2 linked regions of the Ovis aries genome follow. The protein of the gene in region 2 interacts with the protein of the main gene of each other region in a pairwise test. Links are inferred from orthologs where the notes say so. Each region holds a gene or a part of one and is shown on either strand. Other genes may lie near its edges.

Region 1 (10,248 bases), on a different chromosome or scaffold from region 2:
GTGAGGTCTCACCTAAGTGAGGTGTCTGGGCTGCAGAAGGAAAGCTGGGACCTACAGCACAGATGCAAGCCGTGGCTGGGGATGAGACTGCTGGGGAAGAGGGCAGATTGCTTCCAAGGCCCTTGGTATCTTTCCTCCCAATGACACCAGTTATGTGCTAGGCCTTGCATTCGCAGCTTTGAGGTGCTCAAGAATCAGGGACTGTCCCTGCCACCGCAGACCTGGTGATCGAGAAGAGATCTCCCAAATGATTATAGCTCACGGTGGGTATCAGGTGGAGAGGAGTCCCTTTGTGGGAGAGAAATGAGTTTTATAGAAGAAAAAATAAGGACCTGCGGGCATTCAAAGGAGGTGGGGGTGGGGTGGAGAGAGAGAGAGGAAGAGGGAACATCTATGAAGGTTTCTGGGAAGAGGCGGTATTCAAGATGTTCCTTGAAGGATGGATAGGATTTCCGGAGCTGGAGAAGGGGAGAAATCAGGGTGAGATGCCTGTTCTGGGCAACAGCAAGGTCACGGGGCAGGTCAGAGTAGAACACAGTGTCCTGGGGCAATGGGAGAAGAGGGAAAAGGAAGGTTCCGGCAGGTTCTGGCTGGCCACAGGGGGTAGCAGGGGAGGTGGGGAGGGCCTAGCGGCAGGTCTGGGGCCCCTGTCCTCCTCTGCCACATCCCCATAACTCCTCCAGCACTGTGTGCTTAGCAGGCCCTCAGCAGGTGTGGGCTGAACTGAACTGGCCCCCACTTTTCCCCCCAGGCGCGGCTCCCTCTGGTCCCCGACCCCATCTAGAGGGGATAACAAACAGGAAATAATGAGACCCAGGAGCTGGACAGACATCAGGTCCCAGTACAGGGTGCCATCCCCCAAGACAATACCAGCTCCATGCCCCCACTCCCCCCGACCCCATCATCACTGATTTTACAGGGTACTTGAAGCTCGCCCAGGCCCTCACCAGCAGGCAGGTCACCATGGCCTCCTAGCAGCCTGCCCCAGCAAGGAACAGATTAGGAGTCCTGATTTAAAGAGGAAATGGACTCAAAAGAGGTTGAGTGACCTGCCCCCGGCCACACGGGAAGAGCTGTCCTTTAAAGACTTCTGCCAAAGGGGCCTTGGTCCGTGGGCTGAGATTCTCTGCAACTCAGAAGTAAGAATGGGGAGGGGAGGACCTCTATTTCTGATCTAGCCAGAGCTGAGGGCCTCTGGTCTACCCTGGGAGGTCCGACTCCATGGGTTATGCCCCACCTTTGAAAAGGGAGAGGAGGAAGAAGGCGTTGTGGGCACCACCCCAAAGTGATTTGGAGAAGGGAAACATTTCCTCTTTCCACAGACACTACCCCTCAAAGGGTGGTCAGGCCTGCACTGGCACATCCCCATGGGCACAGGGCCCTTGGCATGGGCACACACTATGTCTCAGGTCTGGGCCAGCCTAGAGGACAGGCTTCCGTCCCGGAGTCCCCTCCCCCAGCCCATGCTGGGATCTGGCCCTGAGAGGGTCTGTGCACTACCAGTGCTTCGAGATAAAAGGTGAGGGGGCCCCATTTTCATTCAAAACCCCATCCAACAGTCTTTCGGCTGACTCTGCATTTTGGACCCCAGGAAGGGCACTGCTAGCAGTTTCCCCTCCCCCTGGGCTCTCTCCTGTTGTCCAGGGAAAGAGTGGGCAGGAGAGGGAGTGGCAGAGGAGAGGAAGTCTCCCCAGGCTCCCCCAGACCGTAGAGCCGCTCCCCCGTTTCTAGGCATACATAGCAAATGTGTGGATGGAAACGAAAAGTCTGGACCCGGTCTTTCGGGGCTCCCATCCCCAGTTCCTCTCCCCGTGGCTTCCAGCTTCCCTGCCCCCACTCCACAAATGGAAACAAAATAAGAAAAAGAATGTGGCTTTTACACTCGGTTCCTCCAGTGTCTGTCTGGAGATGGGGGGAGGCTGGCCCGCTGAGCTCTGCAAACTCCCGGGGCTGCAGTGGGCTGACTCGGGGGCGGGGACGGGTGTGAACAGATTGTATCCGCAGCTTCCAGGACAGGATGGAGATCTGGCCCAGGCCTCTTATCGCTCTTTCCCTCCAGCCTTCAGGATCAAAAACAGAAGAAGGGGCGTGGCTAGGGGAGGCCTTCCCTACGCCCCCTGCTGGGTGAAGCCGGGAGGTCCTGAAGCAGAAGCGGGGCTTCCTCCTACCTTCAGCCAGGGAAGCGGGGGTTTCACCATGGCCCTGATCCGCCCCCCAGACTCCTCATACCCAGGGCTCCCCACCATACCCTCCCGGGGCTGCCTATCTGGATGGCAGACAACAGCCCAGCTGTAGGGTCACTCAGCTCAGCCACGTAACCACCAGCGCTGTTTCCTCAGGTGTAAAGGGAGATAATGTCCCTCTCCCAGATTGTCGGGATTCAGATTTGTAAAACAGAGATAAGGTCCCAGGCACACAGTGGGCGCTCCACAGATGTTAGCATCCCATTCTCTCCAGCTCCCACCCAGAAAAGGGTCACGATCCTCTTCCCGTCATAACACCCGGGTACCACGAGACAGCCATGAGCGCATGCAAGACCAGGAGCAGAGTGCATTACGTCGGCGATCTTGCCTAACCTCAGCCGTCTGAGGGAGGTTCTGCTTAGATCCCTGTTTTACAGACGAGGAAACACGCTCGGAGAGGTTGTCACACTTAGTAAATGGCAAAGCCAGAACTCAAGCTACACAGCCTACTCCACAGCAACCCCTCCTACCTCATGGAATTCCCAGGGCAAGCAATAAAAAAAGGCAGGTGCGTTTCCTCTCCAGCCTAGACTAGCGATAAGAAATAGAGACCCTTCCCCCTCCAAACACACAACACAATCACAGACCCCTCCCCCTTACACATTCAGTGCCCTAAGTCACCTCCCCCTGCAGCACACAAACACATTGATACCCCTCCCGACTCTGGATCTGATTCTCCTCAAACACACTCTGACCCTCTCACCCAATACTTTTAAGCCATTGACCCCCTCCCCAGCACACACCCAACCTTGACCTCCCCACCCCTAAAACACACCCAACCCTCACCTCCCTCCCAAAACACACACAACCATCACCCTCCCCACAAGGCACACAGAATCCCAAGCCTCCACAGTAAATACCAGTCCTCAAGAGACCAAACCTCCAGGACTGGTTTGGAGGGGGAGATCTCGTACCATCCCTGGAACTTCCCACTCTGGCTTCCCGGGAGAGAGAGATAACAGCAGGACAAATACCCACCCGTCGCCACTGACCTAGAGAACAGTTCTGTCCTTCCACAGGCCACTGAGTCTCTGAAGCACACCCAGGGTCCAGCCTCCCCCCACCCCAGCTTGGCGAGAGGGATGGAAGGATGGACAACACCTTTGTTGGCGGCAAGTGGGAGGAGGGGGCCTCCTGTGCCAGGCTGCCTGCAGAATGGGTGGCAGGGGACCAGAACATATAATCACTCCTGGTGGGGATGGGGGCCACAGCTGTCCACCCTCCTGGGAAATGCCTGGCCCCCAGCACTGGCCCTCAGGTGGGGGGAGTGAGGCTGCCTCCAGGTCTGAACTTTGATTTGTCATGCTGCACTACGCAGAGCTGAAAGCCAGGGTTACCAGGTCCCACAGCCTTCCACGAGAAAGAGGGAGATGCCTGGCTCCCTCAGGGTGGATGGGGAGGTTCCTGACCTAAGGGGAAGGAAGGTCAGGGAGAAGCTCAGAAGCTGGGGGTCTGGGTAAAAAGAGGTGTTGTTGTTTACTAGGAAGAGGCAGGGAAACCCACTGGCTCACAGAGGGAGGGGGGCAGGAAGGGGCATTGCTTAACCAGAAATGTGGGCACCCCACCCTGGGGGAAGAAGGTTACCAGGGTAGGAGGTGGGGTACCCGGAAACCCTCCCCACCCACCTCGAAGAAAGAGGAAGAAGCTTGCAACATTCGAAAAGGAGAGCAAAACACTCGCTTGTCCGGCACAAGACAGGGGTCAGGCCAGCCCTCCGTGAGCCAGGCCCCAGGGGGACAGCGTCCAGGGCCCTGTTCCCAATCACCTGGGGAAGAGCAAGCTGTCCACCAGCACCAGGCTGAGCGCTCTCGGTTTCTCCCTCCCTAAAAACCCCACCCTGGCGGGAAGCAAGACACTCTAGTTCCTGGAACTGGGATGTGAACTCCAGTTCCCACACAGATCCCAGGCACCCCAGACCCACTTGCCCCTTCTCCAGCATCCCCTAACTCAGAGATTGGCCTCTCCCATCACCGAGCACAGACTGAAGACCAGGCCAGAATCATTCTGACTCCCAGGTCATGATGCTGCCCGCTGTGCCCCCTCCATGGGAGGAAACAGAAGGTGAGGTTTGAGGAGGCAGCATCCGCCTGCCCCCTTCCCCGGGGCACAGAGGGTAGGGACCGAAAGGAACACAGACTTAGAGCCCCTGCTCTCAGCGGCTGGTGGGGCTGGAGAGGGAGGGGGCCACCGAGCAAGCCAGAGGAGGCGAGCCAGGAAGCAGTGGTGGCGGTGGGCAGCCGGCCAGTGCGGGCAGTGAGGCGCCCAGCCAGGGCCTGCCCCAGGGACAAAGAGACTCCCTGGCTCCGGGGAGAGTGCGCTACCCCCAAGCTGGGAAGGGGGCACTGACCCAGCCCAGCCAGGCGCACAGGGCAGCGGTGCCAGGCAGCTTGCCAGTGGCATGGGAGAGGCGGTGGGTGCCCAGGGCAGGCTGTTCAGTCCCTGCCTGCCAGGAGAGGTGGGACACGTTTCCCAGGTCAACAGCTGACCGGCCAGGCCAGTCCGCCGTCCATGGCCCCCTTCTACGGCTTCCACCCCCTCCTGCCCCAGGCCAGGCCCCGGCTCCCTCCTCCCCCAAACCCTGGCCTGGCGCCCAGCTGGGCCCTGGGGGCCAGAGTTACTGTAAGCCGCCTGGCAGGACCGAGGCCTGGACTCTGCCAGCTGGCCTCAGTGCCGCCACCTCCCACTACCTGGCTCGGCCAGCCAGGGAAGGGTACCGAGACCCCCACCCAGCCAACAGGCGACCCCCCATGGCAGACGGCGGAGGCGGAGAGAAAACACAGGCCCTGCCAAGAGCAGGCCTGCGGCCACAGCCAGAGTCCAGGCCTGTGTCCCCTCCCGGACTCTCCCCCCATCCCCAGGCTGCCTGTGGGGCCCTCTCCTGCCCCGGCGCCCTCCCCACAAAGGGAAGCACCACCCCGCCTGGCCAGCAGTGAGGGGAGGGGGTGCTACTCCAGTCCCTTCTCTCAGAGGCACTGGATGGGGTGGGCTGGAGGTGGGGTGCTGTTCTCAGCAGACCAGCCATCCCCACCAAATGTCGAGAGGTTTGTTTACCCAACTCCAGCCTCCTTGTCCAGTGCTTGGAGCTATTTATAAGGCCCTCAACGGCAGAGCACATGAGGGGGCGCGAGGGGCCAGAGGACAGCATTGTCTCAGCTCTCCACACTCCGTGCCACCTCCCAACAAAAAACACAACCACGGCGATTAGCCTACTGGCCTTTCATCCTCAAGCCCGCTTGTCCAGCAGGTCCCCCCCGTCTGGAGGAGACCTGGCCGCTGAGGAAGAGATGTGCCCAGAGGCCCAGCCTTGGGCCTGCCGCCCTCCACAGCCCCCTCCCACAACACTCCCCGACCCCACTTACTGGCTGGGGATGGCGTGCTATAGCCGCTCACTGGAAGCTGGTGCTGGAGAGTGGTCAGAGCGCCTGGGGGGGAGAGTCCACCCAGCATGGGGGGGAAGAAGAAGGCGTAGGGGGGCACCGGGTACCCATTGAGGTGCCCTCCCCCAGGTGTTGGGCAGGAGCTGCTGTTGCTGGCCATGCCAGGCGGCCACAGTCAGAAGCACAGGCAGACAGTCTGGCGGGCTTCAGGCCGCCTCTCCTCGGGGCATGGGGCCTGGGCCCAGAGGGGGCTCGGGTGGTCAGCCCACCCCCCCTTCTGTCCCGGAGCTGCAGTCCAAGGCCAGCGGGCTAATCTCAGGCTCCTGGCACCCCCACTCTAGGGGGAGCCGGTGGGCTGAGGGATGTCCCGAGAGCCAGTCCTTTAGTCAAGCGGTTCTGCGAGCTGGCACTTTCCCGGGAAGGTCCAGAGCAGGCCTTCAGGATGACGAAAAGGAAGCCTCTCCTGGGTGGGCCCCGGCTAGGCGGCTGTGGGGGCCATGTCCTGTGATGCTGCAGAGAGAGAAAAGACAGGTGAGTGGACACCGAGGAGCGGGCTCACGGGCATTCCCCGTGGAGCTCCCCAACCTGGGCGGCCGGAGATTTTCCCGTGGCACCCGGCTGAGCAGACAGCTGGCACCATGCCTGGCTGGCAGAAACAGCCTGGGAGTAGGGCCCAGACACTGCTGGGGGCGGCAGGACAGCACAGCCAGGCTGGGGAGACGGGGACAGAGCCCAGAGCGAGGAGGGCCTCTCACCCACAGTCCTGAGAGCAAAGCGTCCACGCTGCCATGCCACCCCAGAGGATTCCTGCAGCAGAGAAAGGCAGCTGGCCCTCCTTCCCCCAAAGCAGGTTACCTGAGGTCAAGATACAGAGAACGTGTGCTTGAGAGGAGGAGGGAGGGGGAGGAAAAGCCGCTTCCCTAAAGCATTGGCACTTCTCAGAAAAATGACTCCTAAGCCAGGGGGCCTTACTTACACCACTTCCCCCCCAAATCCAAGCCTGAGCACCCCAGATGGGTTTGTCCCACAGACCCAGGGAGGAGGCCCGTTTACATACCTACAAATAGGGAAATGGGAGCTGAGGACTCCTGAGTATCATCTCCATTGCCTAACAGCATGATGGGCTGGGGGTGGAGAGTGTGCCAGGGGACTACCTAGCATGGAAGCCCCCTACTCCCCTCGCCCACGATGAAGAAGCAAGGGAAACTGAGCTCAGACTTCACCCACATCCTCTGCCTGGAGAAGCAACCTCCCTGGAGGGAGTGGGAGGTGAGCAGAAGATGAGAGCCCAGATGCCCCCACCACCATCAGTGTATACACAGATCCACACCCTGTTTGAACAGCTGGGGCCTGAGGATACACAAAGATAACACCGCAGGTAGCAAGAGACAGAGGTGAACCCAGAAATTCCACGACACAGTGAGACAGACAGGCAGCAACAAGAGTAAAGAAAGAGACAGAGAGACAGAAGCATCCACAAGAGGGCCAGGAGGATATATATGAAGAATATCAATAAACATGCATGTATTTATATATGAGTGTGTGTATACACACACATACACACACCTGTGACATATATGAAAAAGAAAAGAGAAACATGACTAATCAAAGCCACAATGAGATACCATCTTGCATCCACCAAGATGGCTATAATCAAGAAGACTGATAATAAGTAGGTGAGGATGTGGAGAAATTGAACCTTCATACATAGTTGGCAGGAATGTTAAATGGTACAGCTGCTTTGGAAAACAGCCTGGCAGTTCTTCAGGAGGTTAAACACAGAGTAATACGACCCAGCAATTCCACTTCTAGGTATCTACCCAATTGAAGGTAAAACATTAAGTCCACACAAACACCTGTACCTGGATACGAACCTTCACACCAACACTCCTCATAGCCAAAAGAGTAGAACCGACCCAAATGTCCATCAACAGATGAATGGATAAATAAAATGCCGAACATCCATACAGTGGAATAGTATTCTGCCATAAAAGGAACAAGGCACTGGGACTTCCCTTGTGGTCAGTGGCTAAGACTCCGCGCTCCCAACGCAGGCAGCCTGGGCTTGATCCCTGGTCAGGGAACTAGATCCCACATGCTGCAACTAAAAGTTCCCATGCCGCAGCTAAAGATCCCACACATGGCAACGAAGATGAAGGATCTCGAGTGCCGCAACCGAGACCTGGCGCAGCCAAATAAACAAACACATGAATATTTTCTAAAAAGGGACAAAGTCCTGACACATACTACATCACGGATAAACCTTGAAAACAATCTGCTAGTTGTAAAAGACCACCTGTTGTATGATTCCCTTTATATGAAATGTCCAAAACAGGCAAATCTAAAAAGGCAGAGTAGATTGTGGTTAGTTACGGGGTGGGGGGGTGGTGTGGGTGTGGGTTTGAGGGAAATGGGAAGTGACTGCTGAATGGTATGGGGGCTCTTTTTGGAGTGATGAAAAATTTCTACAAGTGAACGTGGTGATGGTTGCACAACTCTGTGACTATAGTAAAACCACTGAATTGTACACTTTACTAGGTGGATTTTATGGTACACGAATTACATCTCCATAAAGCTGTTAAGGGGAGGAAGGGAAGAGAAAAGAGAAGAAAAGAAAACAGGGCCACAGAGACTCAAAATAAGGATGGCCTCCAACCCCTTCCTCTCCAAGCTCAGGCCATAATACCATGTTCCAAGCTCCAGGCTCCAGGCTCAGACCTGGAGTCCAGGGGACATGCACATGGCCAGCATTTGGCCAAGAACGATGCCTGAGATGGAGGAGTTCTGCCAAGGCCACTGTGGACGAGGCCAGGACTTCTGGGCCCAGCTGTACGAGCCAGCCAGCCTGTGACTGTGCGGGGCTGAGGGGGGAGGTGGGGACAGGTACTTGCAAGGGAGGGGGGCAGCTCCCCAGGAGTGAAATCTGGACCTTGTTAATGACCATGATTTTTACTGTTACTAATTATGACCTCCTCAGGGCCTCTCTTACTCCTGAATGAGGTGCCCCCTTCCTTCCCCAGGCCCCCGCCGATTCCCTCCCAGGCAGACAGGCTGATGTCAGAGGAACAGGGGCCCCACCCATTGGGCCAGCTGCCGACCTGGCCCCCCTACACACCCCTGAGGGGCCCTACACAGGGGAACTCGAGCTAGCACAAGAATGAGGGGCAGGCTCAGCCTCAGTAGTGTTGACAGTCAGACCCTCACTCACACACACACACACACACACACACACACACACACACACACACACACTTGCAGGCACTTACACACACAGTTCTAGGGAAAGTGTCCGGTGGGCAAGGGCACGTTTGCACACCCAGCCTGTGTGCATGCAGACATGCACATGGCACACGAGGAGGGGGAACCCAGATACACGCTCCCCCACACCTAGGCTCCACACACAATGAAGCCGGCTCCAGGTCTGCATGCATGGCCCAGGACACAACTCCTCACAGACACACAACCACAGCCTCACGGTTTCCCTGGTCCTCACCCAGCCAGGCTGGCCTCTGCACCTGCCTCCCTGTGGGCCAGCCCCCCAACAGAGCAGGGTCCACAAACATAGAGAAGCACTCCAGTGGATTCAGGTCCACAGGGGGGCTACCTCCGGAGGTGAAGCCCAGGAAGCCATTCACTCCAGACTCCAGGCCTCCTGACCCAGCTTTTGGAGGGTGGGGGCGGATTCAGTCTGGACCCTCTGGAGCCCACCCTTACCCCAAAAGAGAGACTAACAACAACCACCTTAATATGCTTCAACTCTGCCCCTGAGAAGTTTGAAACTGGACCATACTTCAAACCTCACTCACAGATACACACCCCAGGGAGAGGCTGGAAGGCGTCCCCCACCCCCATCAGAGCTTCACCAAAGGAGCTCAGCCTGCAAACTTCAATGCAAAGTTACTCAACTCCCTGGGGAAGGCCTTGAGTCAAGGGACGGGGTAAAGGTCACAGAAATGGGCCAAGGGCCAGGCTGGCCAGGGAACAGGGATGGGCAAGAGCAGGGATGAGGAGGGTGGGGTCAAAGAGCCCAGGCGCAGCCTCAGTAGGTTTCTCTGGAACCGTGACCACCCTCGGGGAGATGCCTGGGCCCTGGCCCCCGGCACCCGGGGTGGAGAAGACACTGTCAGAGAATCGAAACCAGCACCAAAGAAAGGGAAAACAAATTACCCACATCCAACCTCCACCCTGTGCCTGTCACCTCCACTGCCCACGGGCACCCTCCCTCAAGGGAGGGAAAAACCACAGGCCCTCACCTCCCATACACCGAGCTCAGCCTCAGCACAGCACAAAGGGGGTGGCAGGAGGGTCGAAGCGCTGACCACCAGCCAGGCACCCCTGCCCGCTGGGGACTCCCCCACCCTCAAAGGTGCCAGGACCCCTTCCCCAGAGTCAGGAGTCCCAGCCACCAGTTCCTTAGGTCCCCAGAGCCTCACATCTAGAGAGAGACAAAAGGTGGCCGAGCCGTGAAGACAGCAGAAAGAACCAAAGGTTTTGAAGGGTCAAATCTCAGCTCTGCCACTCTGGGTGACCTTAGACAAGTCACTTAACCTCCCCAAGCATCTGTTTACTCGCCTGTGAACTGCCTACCTCAACAACTGGCTGTGTGATTTCAGAGATAAAAGTCCTGG
Region 2 (10,837 bases):
CCTTGAATGCCAGGGCTCGGGACACTCAAAGGCCTTCACAAGCCACAGGAGGGCAGGCGCTGAGGCGGGAGGTGGGCTCAGGGAGGCTGGAGGGAGCTGGCAGCTTGCAATTGGTCTGGCCACCAAACCTGTCTGTCTATAGTTAACCTCCCCGCCCCCATCCCCGCCCCAGTGGACAAGCCTGGACACGGGCGTCCAGTCTCAGGCCTCAGGGTTCCTGGATTCACTGGCCTGCAGAGACCCAGAATTCCCACCTCATCAGGGAATTACCTTCATAATTACAGGCACTCAGAAATCCTAAGCATGGACTGCGTGGGGGCCCTGCGCCAGAGCAGACACATTCTCTCGCCTGACCCTCAGGCCACCTGGCCAAAGCCGCACTGGCTCTGCCATCCTCACTTCAGAGACAGGGAGACTCATGCTCAGAGGCACCATTTCCCGCAATCACACACAGCAAACAAGGGCACAGCCAGGACTTGAACCCGGAACCCATTCACTCCAAAAATTTGAGTGGAAGTAGTGTCCGTGGAGCACCCATGTTATGCTGATCCTGGGAGCTGGGAGATCCCTGCAAGGGCCAGGACTCCAGATCTGAGTGGAGATCCACCAGCCAGAGCCGGAAGCCCAGGGAGGCAGGATCGCCTGTCAGCCCAGCCACACACCCATGCTATTTTGGGCAAGACCTCAGCTAAGCTGAGCTCTCACTCAGTGGGACTCAGATGCTACACATCAACCAGAAGCCAGAAATCTGGGCTCACACTCTGATGGGTGATTGTGGCTCCAGCTCTTAGCCCCTCTGAGCCTCAGTTTCCTCTTCTGTGTAATAAAAACAAAAATTCCTCCCACCCCCAGATAACACAAAGGATGGAATGAGTCACCTTGCTGTGACCCGGACATTGACATCAGATAGAGTAAAAGTCAAGACCGAGAATTTGGATAAAACAGCCAGAAAGAGGAGCTCCCCAGGTGGTTCAGTGGTAAACAATCTGCTGCCAGTGCAGGAGACCTGGGTTCGACCCCTGGGTCGGGAAGATCCCCCGGAGAAGGAAATGGCCACCCACTCCAGAAGAATTCCACGGACAGAGGAGCCTGGCGGGCTACAGTCCGTAGGGTCACAAAGAGTCGGACACAACAGCAGATCTTGACAGAGCAGACCAAGCTTCCGGACGGCACTCCAACCCCGACTTCCATCCCATTGCCGCAGGAGTCCACCTGCACCAGCCTCACAGCCCAGCAGGTCTGAGGACCCCAAAGACCCATCCCCACAGTCTCTCAACAGCCCCCAGCCCCACTGACATCCCCAGGCCCACCCAGCATCAACAAGGACACGGCCGGAGCCAGGCCCTGGAGACCCCCTGCTAGGATCCCTGTCTCAGAACCTCAGGAGGGAAGAGCCCTCACCAGACAGTTGAGGAACCCAAGGAACAGAGCACAAAGAGGCCTGGACAAGATCACTGGACTACTTCTCCTCTCTGGCTTCTCATTTTGTTCTGGAACTTTGCTGGACAGTTTCAAGAGGAGGAGAGGAACTCAGGCCCAGGTTGCAGGGGAAGTCACTTGCTCAAGGTCTTGCAGCAAGGAGCGGGGAAATTGGGGTTCTGACTTCCAGCTCTGGGATCTTCCCCAAGCATCTACTCCTTGACTCAGCCTCCCCGACCCCGGCATTGTACTGTGGGGCTGTATTGCGAACAAGCTGGCTGGGTGGGGAGAGCCCTGGATGAGAAGATAGGAGATGTGCATTTTTCACCCTGCTTGAATACTATGTCCTGCGTCTTTCTGGCCTCAATTCCCCCATCTGTAAAAAGAGAAGCTCAGAATAGATCAGGAAAGACAAACTCATGGCACATACACAGTGATATCTAACATTATTAATCTATCACAGCACCCTTTCCCGTGAAGCCTCAGACTGGGCCGCAGCATGTTTTTTAACAGAGCAGTCCAGGTCTGGGGGATCTGAGTCCCAGGGCCATCCCTAGATTGGGCAACATATGAGTCCTCCCCAAGGGAGGGGAGGGTTTCCCAGGTGGCGCTAGTGGTAAAGAACCCAACTGCCAGTGCAGGAGACACAAGAGACATGGGTTCGATCCCTGGATCTGGAAGATCCCCTGGATGAGGGCATGGCAACCCACTCCAGTATTCTTGCCTGGAGAATCCCACGGACAGAGGAGCCTGGCAGGCTACATCCATAGGGTTGCAAAGACTCAGACATGACTAAAGTGACTTAGCATGTGCGCAAGGGAGGAGAAGGGAGAAAGAAAGACGTAACATTTACTGGACATCCAGTAGTTTCAAGTGCTGAGAGACATTTGTTGATTTAATCCTAAGGAGGGAGGTGACGTTCAGAGAGGCTGAGTGATCTGCCTTTGGACAGACAGCTGGGAACCCGGCCTTGAACACAGGGGAGGTACCTCTGGGGTCACCCCCCCCCCCAGGAATAGTGATGCAGAGCCAGCCACCAGGTGAGAGCCTAGGTTATGGCCTCACCTCGTCCTCCTTTTGGACCTACTAAGTGCAAGCCCCATGCCCATTTTACAGCATTAGAAACTGAGTCACAGGAAGGGGGTGTCAGCTGCCAGAAAACGATGGACTTGACCATGTATCTAGCTGTTCCCACCATTCATCCAGCTAATGTAAACGCTTTATTTCAGTCCCCTTGGGACACCGCAGGAGCCATGACTCATACCATCCCACTTCATAGATGAGGAAATTGAAGTGCCCCCAAAGGAAGCGGTCCCCAACCCTCTAGGGGCTCAAGTGGAGACCAGAGTGGTTTACCATGGAGATAAGTGGGGAGGAGCAGCGGAGGGGAAGTAAAGGGCTGGGGGAACCCAGGAGAGATAGAGGCTGGGTGGCCACACAGCTAAGGCAGGAAGTGAGGCTCTGGTCAAAAGGCCCAGGGCAGGGGGCGGAGGCCTCTGAAGGGTCTCTTAGGACTAGGAGCCCAGAGCCCCAAGCCTAGGTTCAGCTCTGTCACTTGGCAACTGGGAGACCCTACCAAGTGTCTTCCCCCTCCGGGTCTCAGTATTCACAGGTAGAAAAATGGCTAATATCACTGAAGGCAAGGTTTCCAAAAGTTGGGACAAGCTGGACCCATAGAGCTCTCCCCAACTCAGCCTCCTCACACACAGGGCAAAGCAGGACTCCGGTCACCCAGTATATGGACGGCCTTGGCCACCAACATCCTTTCTGAGGCCAGCACCTTCAGAATTAGTGAGCCCATTCCCTTGAAGCCTTCATGGGACAGCTGCAGAGGGGTCAACTCATCGAGGCAACTAACCCTCCCAGTGTTCACACTGCACAGGGCAGGGCCCACTTCCCTGAGGACCTGCTGGTTCCAAGCATTAGGCTTACAGCCCTCCTTGAACCCTCACCCCATAGGGAGATATTTACTGTTCCCATTTTCAAGACAAGGAAGCTAAGTCTCAGAAAGACAGGATGAACGAGCCAAGGACACCTGGCAAGCAGGCATGGTCAGAACTTGAATGCAGGCCTGTCTGACTCCTGAGCCCTTACTGTACCTTAGTCTCCAGCTCCCCAGCCAACTGCTTCCTGCTCCCAGCCTCCATCCAGCCACTCTGCATGGCACTGCCCCTACCCTGGCTCTCACCCTCTCCTGCTTTCCTGCTACAGAACTCCTACTCTACTTTCAAAGCCCAGCCTCCAGTGCCTCCTCCTCTTGACACCTGATCTACGCCCCCACAGAATACGTGGAGTCCAGCCCACAGATTTACTTCTCCCAGGTGACTTGGTCAGCTCAGACCTCCCTGGTCCCCAAATTGGAGCTGTTCACACAGGCGACACCAATTGGCGCCTTGTGCGAAGATGGAAGCCAGACTCCTTCCCAAGGCCCATGTGGCCCCACATGGCTCAGCCCTGCTGATAACATCCCCTCGTTTCACCTCTCATCTGCTCGTCTTAATTTTCTGTGCTCCAGACTCACAAGCTCTCCCATTGTTTCTCCAGAACAGCACACACTCCCCACCTCAGGGCCTTTGCACATGAGTTCCCTCTGCCTGGTAAGCCCTATCCCCAGCTCCACGCCTGGCGGACTCCTCTATGCTTCTTTCACGACTTTTCTGCACCCCACACCTCTCTCTCAACCCTTATCACATCTGTGATTATATATTCATTTACTTGGTAACTTGTTTGCTATTATACTTGGCTCACCCTCTAGACTTACATTTCTGGGCAGCCAGGACTGTTCACAATTCCCCAGCAAGGACCCACCCAAACTGACCACTCCCACACATGTCCCAGAGCCTCCCCCAGGGGCCCTGGGACATGTCTGAGCTGAAAGGAAGAAAAGAGTACTGTGTCCCCTTCTTTGTTGAGGAAAATGTTGCTCCCCGCCCCCCGCCCCTGTCACCACCTCCTGGAAGCCTCCCAAGGTCTCCTACAGCTCCCACTGCTAACCCATCACACACTGCTCAGCTCAAGATCAAAGCCCGTAGAACATCATAGGTACTCAACACAGGGCCATGGATGCTTGTATCTCGGCAGGTTTGGGAAAATGGGGTCAGTTGAGGTTCAGGGAATGGGTGGTTGGTCACAGGCCACTGAGCCGTCTCCTTCCTGGCTCCTGGGGTTTGAGGGAGCCAGACAACCTCCCCCCACCCACCACCCCACCACTCCCAGGTCAGGTCACAATCAGGGTAGAAGCCAAAGCAGGAACTGGCTATGCACTGGGGATACTTCACGCCTGGGAAGAGGCTAGGGGAGAGGAGGAGAAAGCTGGGAGGCCTTCCTGGAAGAGGTGGGCCTTAAACGAAGCCTTAAAGAGCAAAAGCAGACAAGCAGCTCTTAGAGGAGAGGGCACTCCCGGCAGGGAAACCCTCAGGAGCAAAGGCCCTGGAGTCACACAGGAGGGCCTAGGCAGGCAGTCAGCTGAGAGGTGACACACTGTAAATCATTTCCTTGGGTGGAAAGACCACATCACCACAGCACACCACCTCACCCAAAGGGCCTCGTGGCATCCACACAATCACTCATCCGAGTCTCTTCCAACACTGTCGTGTGCCTGGTCCCATACTGAGAAACACCCATTCCTCCATCACGGGAAGGGAACAAGGACAGCCCGACCGGGCACTCTGAGCTCTAGGCTCTCATTCCAGCTTCAAACTATGTGGCTCGGTCAAGTCACTTCCGCTCTCAGAGCCTCAGTTTCTTCCCCAGCAAAAAGGGGATACACAAAAGTCCCTACCTCCTAGGAGGTACTCGATAGATGTTAGCAGCTATCATTCTCACAAGCCCATTTTATACTGAACAAACCTGAGGCCAGAAGGAGAAGCGAGTTGTCTCAAGTGCTGGGTGGCAAGACTGCACTGAGGCTGGTTCCTCCTCAAGGGGTTAGGAGGTGGCTTTGGGGACACCGATCCACCCTCTTCTGGAATAAGCCCCACAAGAGCCAGCCATCTCATCTCATGCCCATCTTTTTCAGGCCATTCATCCAGTGCCATGCTCATTTATTGAACACCTACTACATGCCAAGGCCCTACCTGCAGAAGTGCCTACAGGTTTCCCCTGGGGATCCCCACCGCACACAAGCAGACTCAGAGGGGCGGTCCTTTGGCCCAGGTAGCCCAGTGTGACCAGAAGCCGAGGTCTTGTCTCTCCAGCCAGAAAGCCAAGATGAGGGTCAGCAACAGCGTCAGCCTGCTCCATTCTTAAAATCAAGTCTGATCTCAGCTGACTGAAGCCAGGCCTGGAGTCACCCCAGGTGATCCAGAGACCACTGCCCCAACTGGACAGAGTCCCTGAAGCCGGGGACACCTCACCCAGGGCCCCACAGGCTCTGCCGACTCTCAAGTCCGCCTGAAGGCCCCAGAGGTTGAACTGCTACCCCACAGGTGAGCCCCTTCTGTTCACCCAGTCCTTCCACCAGCCCAGTAGGCTCAGCCAGGCCCACAGCTGGACCTGACAAGGGCCCCCAGCTCAGAGAGGGCAGGCAGTTGCTCAAGGAAGCACAGCAGGGCAGGAAAGCGGAGCCCCCACTGGGACTCAAACCCACCACCAACCCCAGCCCAGGCAGGCAGATGGACCCGGCCTGGGGGCCAAATCTTAAACTTTTGCCAACTTCTGAGCAGACCGGAGGTAGGGCCTGCCCAGAGAGGAGGCTGGGGGCTGTGGGCAGCTGGGACCAACCACAGTTTGGCCCAGTCCTTTCCAGGCCGGCAGCACCAGGCCCTACCCAAGGCCCCACGAGGACAAGGAGATCCTGGTGTTCTGGCCCGGCACCCCCTGCCCGGCGCCCCCCCAGGCCCACCCTGCCGGCCCTTCTCCACCTCCCATCCCGGGCTGGGGGCGCCAGGCTGGGTAGCGGCGGCCAGAGGCGGCGCCGACTGGTTCAGATTTCAGATTTGGCCTAGACCTGGCCTGGGGGCTCGGGCCCGGCTCGCTGCTCTCAGGGGGCCCGCAGAGGGAGCATGAGCGGGAGGGGGGGGTCCTCGCGAGGACAAGACCCCTACGCCCCCCACCAAACCCCTCCCCCCCCCCCGCGGCATCACAACAAAAGGCCGCGCCAGACAAGTCCCGGTGCGCCCGCCCTGCGCCCCGGGATCGCCGCTTGGCTCGAGGGGTGAGGTTTGGAGGGGGGCAGGAGCCCCCGCGGCCCAGCGATCGGACGCCAGGGTGGTCCCCGGGCGGGGGGCTCCCTCACGCGGGCCGGGAGCCGGGGCCGGCGGAGGGGCGGGGGGCGCTCACCTGGACCGGCAGGCAGACGGACGCACCGGGCAGACAGACGCACTGGAGGACGGACCGCCGGACGGCCAGGGGTTCGGGCACACGGCGGCCTGGCCGCTCCGGCTCCCGGGCCGGAATGGATTCCGGGCCAGGAGAGACAGATCGAGAGAGAAAGGGAGGCGGAGGAGGAGGAGGAGGCGGCGGCCCGGGGAGGGGAAGAGGAGGGAGGGAGCGCGCGAGCAGGGAGGAGGGGCCCGGCAGGCCGCCGGGAGGGGGAGGAAGAAGGAAGCGTGCCGGGACGGGTCCCCGCCGGTGACCTGGGAGAGTCCCGCGCGCGGCCTCCCCACGCCCGGGGTCCCGGCGGCCAGGGAATGGAAGGGCGGGGGCTCCGGCCACGGAAGCCCCGCCCCCTACCCCGCCCTGAGAGTGCTCCCTTCCCATGGGGCACCCACCCATCAGCTCTCAAGCCAAAATACCCTCCCCAACTCCTCCCAACCCACCCACCCAACTGACCCCAAGTCTACCTCTCATGAAATTATTACTGATAATCAGTAACAGCAGCACTGATGGAGAACTCATTCCTTACCCGGTGCCATGCTAAGCTGTTCAGGTCAACTTTAGGATCTATTCCTACCAACCAAGTGGGCTGGGCAGGCCAATGATCACCCCCATTTTACAGATGAAGAAACTGAGGCACAGAGAAGGGACTCACCTGACAAAAGCCAGGTCTTGGACCCTGGCCTTAACCTGAATTTCCCAAACTGGGGACTGAGACAGGCAGGACAGTGTGGTAAGGAGCAGCATTTTTATCTTAATAGCTATGCATTCATTTTAAAGTGCATCAGAAGAAAAAAAAAAAGTAACTAAGAAGCCAATAAGTTCCAGATAAGGAACTTATAAAGGGCTTCCAGTAAGCCCCTTGCTGCTGCTGCTGCTAGGTTGCTTCAGTCGTGTCCGACTCTGTGCGACCCCACAGACGGCAGCCCACCAGGCTCCACCACCATCACTGGGACTCTCCAGGCGAGAACACTGGAGTGGGTTGCCATTTCCTTCTCCAATGCATGAAAGGGAAAAGTGAAAGTGAAGTCACTCAGTTGTGTCCGACTCTTAGCGACCCCTTGGGCTGCAGCCTACCAGGCTCCTCCGCCCATGGGATTTTCCAGGCAAGAGTACTGGAGTGGGGTGCCATTGCCTTCTCTGAGTAAGCCCCTTAGGAGGGGCCAAAGCAGGTATTCAGTGGCAATTATAGTCAGTGGTAAAGAACCTGCCTGCCAGGGCAGGAGACGTGGGTTCGATCCCTGGCTCGGGAAGATCCCCTAGAGAAGGGAATGGCAACCCACTCCAGTATTCTTGCCTGGAAAATTCCACGAACAGAGGAGCCTGGTGGCAGGTTTCAGTTCATGGGATTGCAAAGAGTCAAACGCAACTGAGCACATGTGCTAGTCCTGCCTTTGGCTTTTCACAGGTCCTCCTGGGATTACTGCACAGGGGAAGGTGGGCCTGAATCCAGCTTTAAATGCCACCATCTGCCTCTGTTTTCCTTCTCTGAAAGTTTTCCCATTTCACAGATGGGAAAGTAAAGCCCAGTCCAGGTCAAATGGTAGAAGCCTGGACTTCTCCTGAGAGGAGCAGGGAGGGAAACTCAAGACTGTGGGAGGCAAGGGCCTCAGGGTACAGTACAGTACCTGGGAGACCAGGAATGAGCAAGGCCTTAAGCTGGACTGATCTGGGTTCAAATCTAGACTGGTTGCCCAGCTGCTGTACCTTCTACGAGTCCATCACCTTCCCCAGCCCAGGTCCCCTCGCCTATGAAACGGGAGTAAACATGTCCACAGACAACTTCCGGGAAGGTTAGAACTGACAAGAGTGAGGGTGGCGAGGTTGTGCTCAACAAAGGTAAAGCGCTTATGGTCCGTAAACTGAGGCCAGAAGGGGAAGGGGCTGCTTGAAGTCCCACAGCAAGTCAGCAAGAGAGCCAGCACCAGAAGCCAACCCTGGCTGGTGAAATGGCTGCAGGTATTTGCAAGGCTGGTTTAAAGATTAACCCCAGCTTCCTAGGATATGCTGGGCGGGGCCCTACCTGGAGGAGCAGGTTTCTCAGCCGTCATTCACTCCTCAGACAGGCCTGCAGGCCTTTACTGGGGGGCCTGGGCTCAGGGCGGGGTGTTCATCCAGTGGTGTGCTGAAGCTGGCTCTTCTCTCGTGCAGAAGCAGATTGGGTTCATCTCTTCCCAACTCCACATTCAGTGATATCATCCTGGTAGCTTGACGTCAGCAGAAGTGGAACTTTTAACACCGCAGAAACCAGCAGACACGACAAATCAAAGCTTTTTTTTTTTTTTTTAAGTCCAGAGAGCTAGTTGTTAAATATTTACCAGCCCATCACTAAATTCATCCCCAGGAGTTCAGTCGAAAGTTCTGGGCTTCTTCTAAAGCTTGGATAACAAGAGTGCTTAAAAGCATAGACTTCAGACCCACAGACCTCGGTTCAAGTCCCGTCTCTGCCACTCCATGGTTACCTCTCCTTGAGGGGAGCAGAGTTTCTCTGAGCCTCACTATGCCAACCTGCAAAAGGAGCTAAAGAGTGCGCTCCCCTCAGAAGACTCACGTGAACGTGAAATGAAGCGATGTTCCCTCAGTGTGTCTCAGCCCTTTTCACACCCTACCACTGTCTTGGAGGAGAGGGGGCAGCTGGGACCCCTCTTGGCTCTGTGAGCGCATATGTGGCCTTCCACCTGGAGCCACCAGTGGCTTGGCTCAGCCACTGAGGTTCTCAGGAGGTCTTTTGGGAGGATGTGGCCAGCACGGTGGTTTCATGATTAAGCGTTGGAAGAGTTCGTTATTTTCAACCACCCCTCTGGGTCTTCACTCAGGCTGTAACCCCCACCAGGAATGCTCGCCCCACCTCTCTAGCTTCCCGACCCTCGCTGTCCATCATGGTCCTAAGTAAGTGTGGCCTCCTCCAGGATAAGTTTCCTGACAATCCTCTGCTGGAGGCACACCCCGAGCCATTTGGGAGTGTCTGTCCCCACCCAGAGGGCAGGGACTCTGGCCTGTCCCCTGGCACAGAGCAGGCACTGCCAAGCGACACTCTCTGGCCAAGAGAGCGCTGGGATTAGGGATATACATACAAGAGTTCTAACTCTTTCATTCATTGACTATGTGATCCTGCCCTCTCTGAGCCTCAGTTTACTCATCAATAAATTGGGAGCAATACCCTTACCAGGATTATGCAGGTGCAAGAGCTGCTTGCTGGTCTGGCCTGGGGAACTGGTGACTGACTCTTTGTATATTATTTTGCTTAAAAGATTGTTAGTAAAACAGCAGCTCATTGCTTCATACCTGCCAATCATTCATCTTTGTCCATGAACGGCAAACACTGGTCACCGATAATATACCCAGCCCTGTGCCAGGCCTGGAACACCAAGAGGGATAATCTCCCAACCCCAAGCACCCAGCAGATGACAGATGTTATTGATGTCAACACCGTGGAGATGGTGAGCACCAGCTGTATACAGTTCTCTGTCTCTGGAAACCTCCTCTCTTTTCCTCCCCCCAACTTGGGTCAAAGCCACAACTGAGGGCAGGATAAAGCATATGGGGTGAGGCCTGTCTCCTCACAGCTGGCAGCAGACCTGTGGCAAGAGTTTTCCCATGCGATGGGATCAGGGCACTGCCTGCACCTCCCCCAGGCTATTCGCCTCACCCACCCTGAGCCCAGCACATCCTTGGAAAGCCACTGGGAAGCTGACCCATCCCAGGCGCTGGGTGGGAAATTCCAGACCCGCCCTCTCATTCCCTAGATAGTCTGCTGCAATTCGAAGAACCAGGCTCAGGGCTACAGGACAAGGTGGAAAAGAAGACAGACTCTGGCCTGAGGCTGTGAAATGGGTTTGGCACCTCTCCTGGCGCTACAATTTACAGTTTACACAGAGATGTCCAGTGCATCAGCCTCGCTAACTGCTCGGGCCTTTCTTGGGAAGCCTCAATCAGTTCAGTTCAGTTCAGTTCAGTCGCTCAGTCGCGTCTGACTCTTTGTGACCCCATGGACTGCAGCACACCAGGCTTCCCTGTCCATTGCCAACTCCCGGAGTTTGCTCAAACTCATGTCCATTGAGTCGCTGATGCCATCGAACCATCTCATCCTCTGTCATCCCCT

What was found.
Region 1: the proteins of SRC (region 2) and RARA interact in a two-hybrid assay, tested with the Homo sapiens proteins (2 studies listed by BioGRID). The link is inferred for Ovis aries from reciprocal best matches to the Homo sapiens genes SRC and RARA.

The regions. Positions count from the first base shown.
Region 1 is NC_056064.1:40,319,232-40,329,479, reverse strand, and holds part of RARA (retinoic acid receptor alpha), read right to left. Parts: intron 6,478-10,248; exon of another isoform or gene 6,376-6,477; intron 6,131-6,375; 5' UTR 5,781-6,130; coding exon 5,603-5,780; intron 1-5,602. UniProt on the Homo sapiens protein: Receptor for retinoic acid. Retinoic acid receptors bind as heterodimers to their target response elements in response to their ligands, all-trans or 9-cis retinoic acid, and regulate gene expression in various biological processes.
Region 2 is NC_056066.1:66,269,408-66,280,244, reverse strand, and holds the start of SRC (proto-oncogene tyrosine-protein kinase Src), read right to left. Parts: upstream 7,052-10,837; 5' UTR 6,700-7,051; intron 1-6,699. UniProt on the Homo sapiens protein: Non-receptor protein tyrosine kinase which is activated following engagement of many different classes of cellular receptors including immune response receptors, integrins and other adhesion receptors, receptor protein tyrosine kinases, G protein-coupled receptors as well as cytokine receptors.